Linked DNA regions of Xenopus tropicalis. The protein of the gene in region 1 purifies or fractionates together with the protein of each later gene. This does not show direct contact. Links are inferred from orthologs where the notes say so. Each region holds a gene or a part of one and is shown on either strand. Other genes may lie near its edges. The genes, in order: pfdn4 and pfdn1.

Region 1 (4,385 bases):
TGTACCCCCCTAGTGTAAATGATAAGGATATTAGAAGTCACTGAGGGGTTCTGTGACCATATAAAGGTACAACACTGCAGGCTGAGTTATACAGGGAACTCTGAGTATCACTCATGTATTATAAGGGATAATGTACCCCCTACTGTAAATGATAAGGATATTAGAAGTCACTGAGGGGTTCTGTGCCCATATAAAGGCACAAGGCTGCAGGCTGAGTTATACAGGGAACTCTGAGTATCACTCATGTATTATAAGGGATAATGTACCCCCTACTGTAAATGATAAGGATATTAGCAGTCACTGAGGGGTTCTGTGACCATATAAAGGCACAAGGCTGCAGACTCAGGGTTTTTATGTGTTTTTATTAAAAACTTCACAAAAGAGAATTAACAGAACTCAGACCAACATGCCGGCCAATAATTACAAGTTACAACCAAAATTCACCCCCCCCCCCAGTCCACTGGCCAAATGTCCCGATGAAGATCGTGACATATGGAGGGGGCAATTGTCCTTATAGTACAGACATTAAACTTGATAAGATAAACCATATACAATGATGCTACACAATATTTTGCACGTTGGTTTTTGTAGTACAGGTATGGGATCCCTTATCCGGAAACCCGTTATCCAGAAAGCTCCGAATTACGGAAAGACCGTCGCCTATAGACTCCATTTCAATCAAATAATTCAGAATTTTAAAACTGATTTCCTTTTTCTCTGTAGTAATAAAACAGTACTTTGTAACTGATCCCAGCTAAGATATAAATAATCATTATTGGATGAAAAACAATCCCATAGGGTTTAATTAATGTTTTATTGATTCTTTAGTAGACTTAAGGCATGGAGATCCAAATTACAGAAAGACCCCTTATCCGGAATACCCTTGGTCCCGAGCATTCTGGATAACGGGTCCTATACCTGTACTATAACACCCGGAGAACAGTTCAATAACTGATACTAAGCACTTCGCCCAGTTTATCACGCCAGTCACTCAGGATCCCATCCTCTTGCACCATCTAGTGGCCATTTAGCGCGTCGCACACTTCCTGCTCTCGCTGTCAAGTTGGATTCTGCGTAAGTTGGACTGTACCATTGCGTAAAATGCAGATGACCGTATTACAATCGTTATGTGTTGTGATATTGCAAGCGCCACGAATTTAAGGCTTGATTGTGCGATCGTTCTCTGACCCGGTACTTCTTTTTCACTGGTTAGCTTTATTAAGTAAGAGCAGGTTGCGTTACGCTCCTCCCCCCGCCCGGTAGTTGGTTCTATCCCAAGATGGCGGCCACCATGAAGAAAGCGGTAATGCTGCATGTTGCGGCGGGCGTGGGGGAATTTGGGGGTGTTACAGGGAATATCGGTAACTGGGTGCGATACAAAGGTGGTGCTGGATGGGGGGAAATCGCCATGGGAGAATAGGGGGCATTAGGCAAATGATTGGGGTGTAATAGGATACATTCTGTAAAGAAATAATTAAGGGATGTGCTGCAGACTGTGCTGCTTTCTGTGTTGCCATGCCAAATGAGCTATTCACAGGGGGATTATTAGGGGTGAGGGGCCAGCCTTACACTGGGCATGTGTCAAACGGCCAACTCTCTTAGTCTGCAGTACAGATATAGCTCTGCCTGATTAGGCCACCCCTATAGGCTTCTTTAATGGTTTGATCCTTGGGCCAGTAATTATTATAAGGGCCTGTGTACTTCTGTTAGGCCATCATGTCTGTCAGGATTCTATTAAACCTTCCCAACAGCAGATCCTCAGTCACATATAGTTTGGGCCTTCATAGTCTGTCCAGTAAGTCACTGATACAACCCTGAGCGCTTGAGCTGTAATTGTAGTGTGTAGGTAGAATTGTACAGGTATAGGACCCATTATCCAGAATGCTCAGGACCAAGGGTATTCCGGATAAGGGGTCGTACATTGGATCTCCATACCTTAAGTCTACTAAAAATCAATTAAACATTAATTAAACCTAATGGGATTGTTTTGCCCCCAATAAGGATGAATTATATCTTAGTTGGGATCAAGTACAGGTACTGTTTTATTATTACAGAGAAAAGGGAATCATTTAACCATGAAATAAACCCAATAGGGCTGTTCTGCCCCCAATAAGGGGTAATTATATCTTAGTTGGGATCAAGTACAGGTACTGTTTTATTATTACAGAGAAAAGGGAATCATTTAACCATTAAATAAACCCAATAGGACTGTTCTGCCCCCAATAAGGGGTAATTATATCTTAGTTGGGATCAAGTACAGGTACTGTTTTATTATTACAGAGAAAAGGGAATCATTTAACCATTAAATAAACCCAATAGGGCTGTTCTGCCCCCAATAAGGGGTAATTATATCTTAGTTGGGATTAATTACAAGGTACTGTTTTATTATTACAGAGAAAAAGGAAATCAGTTTTAAAATTCTGAATTATTTGATGAAAATGGAGTCTATGGGAGACGGGCTTTCCGTAATCCGGGGCTTTCTGGATAATGGGTTTCCGGATAAGGGATCATCTCATACCTTTATTTCTATTTATTATTTTTATTTCCAGTTTAACTGCAGATATTTACTAGAGTTGCTGGTCAGTGCTTGGAGTTGTAGGACTAATCAGCTCTGTGAATAATAGGAGTAATGGTTTCAGGCCTAAGAGAATAGAAATGTGAGTATCATTTGCCAGGGGGAATGATTTAATTGCCTTGTTTTATTCATGTGGACCCTCTGTGTCCTGCCCCCTGGGGTTCTCTGCTGTGGGCATAAACAGGGCATGGGGGCTTTCATGCTGGCAGGTGTATTCATTATTAATAACAGGTATGATCATAGCTTATGTGACCCACCCACCACTAATACAGATTATATAGAAATGCTGGCTGAAATAGGAGTTAGAGAGCTTCCAGTCTAAAAGGGGAAGGGGGTGTGAGACAAATGATGTGGGAATGGCTCACATTGTTGGGGCTGGGATTATACAGCGAGTTACGGTTACAAGTATCCACAGTTATATAAAAATTGACAGGCCTACCTCCTTTGCTGCCCTGCTGATTGTGTTTTAATTCGTTTCTGCCACTGGTCAGAAAGACCCTGGTTATTAGATCTCAAGCACTGACCTGAGCTGGAAACCAATACCCAACTGGAAGGAACCCAAACTGGCAGCACTCAAAATCAGCATCATAAGTGGAATATTAATGAGACCAGGAACACGGCAATGCCATGCTTATTGCCAGCTCCCCTTACTGTCTCACTATACCTGCCCATTGGGTGTGTCTGTTCCTGTGCTTGGAAATTAAATTAACTCTACAGGGGTGCTGGCTGCGATGTGAATGATTGTATATTCCCCAAAGTTACCCCACTTTAGTAATCCTGTGGCTATGACTCAAAGGCCAGCAGTGCATTATGATTTGGTTCACATTATTATATATATTTAATTCTATAGAAGCTTGCCCTGTATTGAGAGACAGATCAGCATTTGTGAGGCCACAAAGACCTAGGCCCAGGGCGGCACAAAATAAAACAAAACAGTGGGTGGGTGCGCACACGTGCTTATGGGGGACAAGGCCTATCAAGTTGCCGGGGGGTGGTGTGGCCTCGGGTTGCCCAGTTTAGAATCTGGCCCTGGTGAGGCAGCAGTTCATATAGTTGCTCTAGTGACTGAGGTTTTGCCAGCATTGAGATCCTATCCTTAATTTCCATTGTGGGGAAAAAATAAAGGAAAAAAGTCAATTGATTGAGACAGTGACAAGCAGCAAAATAACCTGTAGCAATTTGCCTTTTTAATGATGTCCTGAGAGGTCAGCTGGTTACAGTAACATCAGTAATTTGCTCCCGCTAAATGAATATGATTAATATAATTTTCGTTAATGAGGAAAACTCCTTAATGAGGCAGAATCCTTTGCTCTCGTCACTTAAGTCATCGCTAATGCTAATTTTATAAATAAATGGAATAGTCTCTATGGCAGTTATCAATACACAGACTGTCAGTAGATCCTCACACTGATACATACAGAGAAAAAAAGGCCTTTGTGCGTAGGCACCAGAACCATAGGTTTCCTACAGTCCTGAGTAGCGCCTCCCCTGTCTGGAGGGTAATGACTTGTCCTGTTTGCGTTCCAGGTTGCGGAAGATGTAAACGTTACATTCGAGGACCAACAAAAAATCAACATCTTCGCAAGAAATACAAACCGGGTCACAGAGCTGAAAGATGAAATCGAAGTAAAAAAGGTAATACAACAGCGAGATCTTTGCTTTTATTAAAGGGGAAGTGTTACTTGGCTTAAGCAACACCATGTCTGGTTAATTCAGATGTTTCTCTAGTTCCAATATACCTATGCAACATGCAGTACCACTTTCCTCCTGTTGGTGGCAGCAGCAGAGAAGCACAGGGAAGCAAATTAAA
Region 2 (4,602 bases), on another chromosome or scaffold:
CATTTTTTGGTGTTACTGTTCCTTTAAAGACAATGTTCCCTCCAAGCTATGCTCTTGTGCACATGCACACAAATTTTGAGGCCAGCGCACACAATTGTGGTACACACAAGGAATTTTGTGTAAAAACACATAATATTGTACTGAGCACACAAGTCTTTTAAAGGAGAACTAAACCCTAAAAATGAATATGGCTAGAAATGCCATATATTGTATAATAAAATGACTGCACTGGCTTAAAGTTTCAGCATTGCTATAGTAGTAATGACAAAAGTCTTTACAGTTGTCACAGGAGCTCCCCATCTTGGATTCTGTTAGAACTGTCCGGGACGGCGCACATGCTCAGTTGGCTCTGAGCAGCTAAGCTTAGGGATTGTTGCAAAATATCAAGCAGAAAATGAGTGTTGTCTTTCATATAAACTGATGCTACAGGGCTAATTATTCAATTTTGATGCAATTGCCCTGGTTTCAGATCTGTCATGTAATGTAAATGAATTACTAATCAGCCTTTCACTGTTACATTTATATTCTGTATATACAGTATATTGTGAGTGGGTCCCTAAGCTCAAGTAAGTGACTGCAACACAGAGCATGTGCAGGGAATCAGCAGAAAAGAAGATGGGGGGGGGGCTACTGGAGGGCATCTTTGGGGGCACAGATCTTCCCTGCAAAAGGGCTGTTTGTGCCTTGGGCTGGTACAGAAACCCATAACATAATTCACAAAATTTCAGCCCTACTTCTTTGTTAAAAAGTGTGCACAAAAGAAATTATTTGTGTACCCTGCCAAGAAGAAATTGGTTTAAGGGCACTGCTGTATGGGGCAGATTCTGCAGTTAACTTGCAGGCCGAGAATCTGCTGTGTGGCAGTGCCCTAAAAATCCCACTGGCATGTTGATGAGGCCTACATGGGTGCCAATTATGTTTATGGCCCTAGGGAAAAAGTGGCTGTTTAGTTCAAAACTAGACAGGTGTCAACCCCCAAGTGCACTGACAAGTGATTCCTGTGTTAGTCCATTCAGTGGTCATCTTTAGTGTTTTACCAGCTGCTAGGGCTGTCCAGTGCAGCCGTAAGCACCAGACTTCTGACCTCGCCCCCCTCGTATACAGCTACACTTTTTTTCTTTTTAATATAGGCACCCCTAGCGCTGCCCTACATAAATATGGCCCATGCACCCATGAGCTAAATCATGCACAGGGGATCTTGTCTGAGCAAGATCACCTTCAGGCTGGGCTTTTAGAACTATCTCCCAAAATAAGAAATATTTCTTTAACGTTGCCCCATTTTCAGCCATGATTTCAATTTATGGCGTTTGTAACTGCTTACAAAATACAGTCTAATTCAAGATTCCAGAAACATATGGGATAAACAGTCTAGAAACTCATAACAATCCTATTGGGTGCGAATCGAATTACAACCCTTCCCCATATATTTCTACATATAACTCCCCAGCCACTGTGTCACTGCCGGTTTAACACGTTGTGTGTAAATCACGCACACATATTTGTTTATATGTTACATCACACGTTACACCCTTGGTTCACTCTACACAAAACATAACTTCTGTGGCAAAACAAACTACTAGCAACCATGGCTCAAATATCTTTAAACAGTAAGAGCTCTCGCTGCTAAGCCACAACTCAACCAATCCTCCAGCAACTATACGCTGGGCGTTTCCCAAGAACGCCCACCAATGCGCCCAGCTTCACCTTAGCAGCTGCCAATTGGAATTGCCAGTAAAGCACCAAGAGCCAATCACAAGGCTGCTTGCGATGACGGCGGTATAGCGTATGGTTTCCTCGCCGCCGCGTTGCGCATGTGCCCGGCTTTAATATGGCTACCCCTGTGGATCTAGAGCTGAAGAAGGTAATAATAATTGTATTTCATTTATACTAATGATTTTTATCATGTACGTGTTTTCATGTAAGTGTATGTTTATATAAGAATTCAGATGCTGGTGAATTCACGGTGCCTGCAGGATGAATGTGCTTTTGGCTGGAGTGCGGCCAGGCAGCTAGTGCATACGCTCGGTGGAATGCGAATGTAGTCGTTTTTGTATTTCTAGTAGGGAACTGTATTTGTAGTAAAGAATTTTGATATCATTTGATTTGTGTGTGTGTATATATATATATATATATATATATATATATATATATATATATATATATATATATATATATATACATATATATACATATACATATACATATACATACACACACATACATACATACATACATACTCACACTCTATAAACCCATAGTTCTATAAACGAACACTTGTTTTTTTCCAAATACATAAAGAAGGGAAATTTAATAAAGTATATTTACTATTAATGTAAGATTCATCCTTTTGGAAGGCACTATCTCCCAGTGCATTGTTTATTTGCAATTAAAACAGTCTTTAGAACGCAAAAACATTGCTGTTAAATCTTTGCTTACACCTAAAATTTGGGGGCTTAAGTGTTTAGTAAGATTGGAGATAAATATCACTGGTGATGTTGCCCATAGCAACCAATCAGATATTTGATTTTCATTTCTAACTTGTAGGTGACTGTTCAAATCTAATTCCTGATTGGTTGCTATGGGCAACATAGCCAGTGATATTTATCTCCAATCTTACTAAACATGCCCCTGTGTCCTACATCTGTGGTTTGCTTGACAGACTTTTTCAGTTCAAGCCCACCTTGGAGCCCAGTTAGTTCATAACAAGGTGTATGGAAATGTTGTATCAGCTATTCAGGAAGGGCTCCCGGAATACCCATTTTCACACCAAATTTCTCTCTAACTGAGCTTCTCGCTGGGTTTTTAGAAAAATAGGCCCTCAAGTGGGCCATACAGGGGCCCATTCAGACCAAGTTGACAACATATCAGCCTGTTTATGAGTAATGTGAGACTGCTTGACTGACATTTGCAAAGGATGCACTTTTACAAGCAGAGTAGTTTAAAAACTGGATAGTTTCTAAAATATTAAAAATATTACCTGCTTACACAATCTTGGGTGAAACTCAGATGTAGAGATTGGCAGTGGCTAGAAAGCATTAGCGAGGACAGCACTTAGATACAAATTGTTTAAAACCATGTTTTGTATTGCAGGCTTTCACAGAGCTTCAAGCCAAAGTTATTGATACCCAGCAGAAAGTTAAACTTGCAGATCTACAAATTGAGCAGCTAAATAGAACAAAGAAGCATGCATATCTTACCAATGCAGAAATTATGAACCTGTCTGATTCAACGCCTATGTATGAAGGAGTAGGAAGAATGTAAGTAATGCTGTTTTGCTTTAATCATACAGTCATGCATTAACTTGTCTTTTTAAGTGTAAATTGTAAAGAAAAGTAGACCTTCGGCCCACTCTCCCCTTCTCTGTTCACTCAATTTCTTTAATCTCTTAATTACGCAGTTTTACATAATATTATCTATCCTTTCCTCCATTTCTTCAGTTTCTTTTCATATAGGATTGAGTAATGGCCATGGTATACGCATACAAGGCAAATGGTTGGGTGAGCAGGAGGGCCCACTGACACTTGGGCCACCGGGAGTTTTCCTTGTATCCTGGTGGGCCAGTCAGACACTGCACAGACCTACCGATCCCTTCGAGGGCCAAAAGACAGAAAAAATACAAGGGACCATATACTCTATGGATGCCTTTCTGTTGTTCCTTGTATTCATAGGGAATGAAGGGAACAGTTCCTCATCTTCCATACACAGGCTGTAATGGGTTCTTAGCAGGTTACATATTTATACCCACCCAAATGACAAACCAATCAAAGTACATGGATATAGGCTGCCACGCACATACTGAAAATCGTTAACTGTGTTCCTATGTAATCCCCATTTGACTGTGCCAATGACTGTATTTATAGACTGGCTATTGTTAAAAACCAAGAACTTTTTGGTTTTCTTACATAACCATTGCTGTGGAGAATAGAAAGTACTTATTCATAGGCGAATGATTCAATATTAACACATTTCTAAAGGTGGAAAGCATTAAAGGCCAAAAAAAATGCATTAGTATTTCAGATGCTTTAAATGTTCCGTATGCCTTTAGAACAGAAAGTCTACATTTAGGAGGGCGTTATAGTCACTAGTATAAGTGGAACTTTATAGTTTAGGTAATCCATTGATCTCAGGGAACATGCTTATCTGCAGCTGGGAAGTCCATATATATTAAAATTTAGTTGAATGCGCTTGAATGCACTTGTGCAATAGCCCTCTACAGAGGGTTCTGAACAGCAACTTCATTGGAATAGGCCATACATAGGCAGATTTAAGTCAAGCACCAGCCTAGGGCACAGAACTCTTTTGTTTGTCTGTTTCCCCTTACTTCGGGCCCCAGTTGACTGGGAGAACTGCCAGAAGTCAGAGAGAGCAGCCGCTATTTTGCACTCGCTCGGGGGGGGAGTGGGTGCAGTATAGCCGTCGCTTACTCTTCCAGTCAGTGTGCGCTCGTTACAGGAGGGGTGGGCACGGAGCAGTGCGAGCTGGGGGGGGGGGGGGGCAAAGTTCTAAATTCGCCTGTCATTGATTTAAGCTCCTCAGTCAGTCCCTTCAGACCGATTTGGCAGCTTATCTGCTTGTATATGGTGCCCTCATATGGGCCAACCT

Evidence for each region.
Region 2: the proteins of pfdn4 (region 1) and pfdn1 purify together in Homo sapiens (affinity purification with mass spectrometry; 5 studies listed by BioGRID and IntAct, counting the BioPlex papers as one, with this or other methods). This does not show direct contact. The link is inferred for Xenopus tropicalis from reciprocal best matches to the Homo sapiens genes PFDN4 and PFDN1.

The regions. Positions count from the first base shown.
Region 1 is NC_030686.2:34,366,703-34,371,087, reverse strand, and holds the start of pfdn4 (prefoldin subunit 4), read left to right. Parts: upstream 1-1,287; 5' UTR 1,288-1,291; coding exon 1,292-1,303; intron 1,304-4,102; coding exon 4,103-4,210; intron 4,211-4,385. UniProt on the Homo sapiens protein: Binds specifically to cytosolic chaperonin (c-CPN) and transfers target proteins to it. Binds to nascent polypeptide chain and promotes folding in an environment in which there are many competing pathways for nonnative proteins.
Region 2 is NC_030679.2:31,787,768-31,792,369, forward strand, and holds the start of pfdn1 (prefoldin subunit 1), read left to right. Parts: upstream 1-1,731; 5' UTR 1,732-1,828; coding exon 1,829-1,861; intron 1,862-3,090; coding exon 3,091-3,257; intron 3,258-4,602. UniProt on the Homo sapiens protein: Binds specifically to cytosolic chaperonin (c-CPN) and transfers target proteins to it. Binds to nascent polypeptide chain and promotes folding in an environment in which there are many competing pathways for nonnative proteins.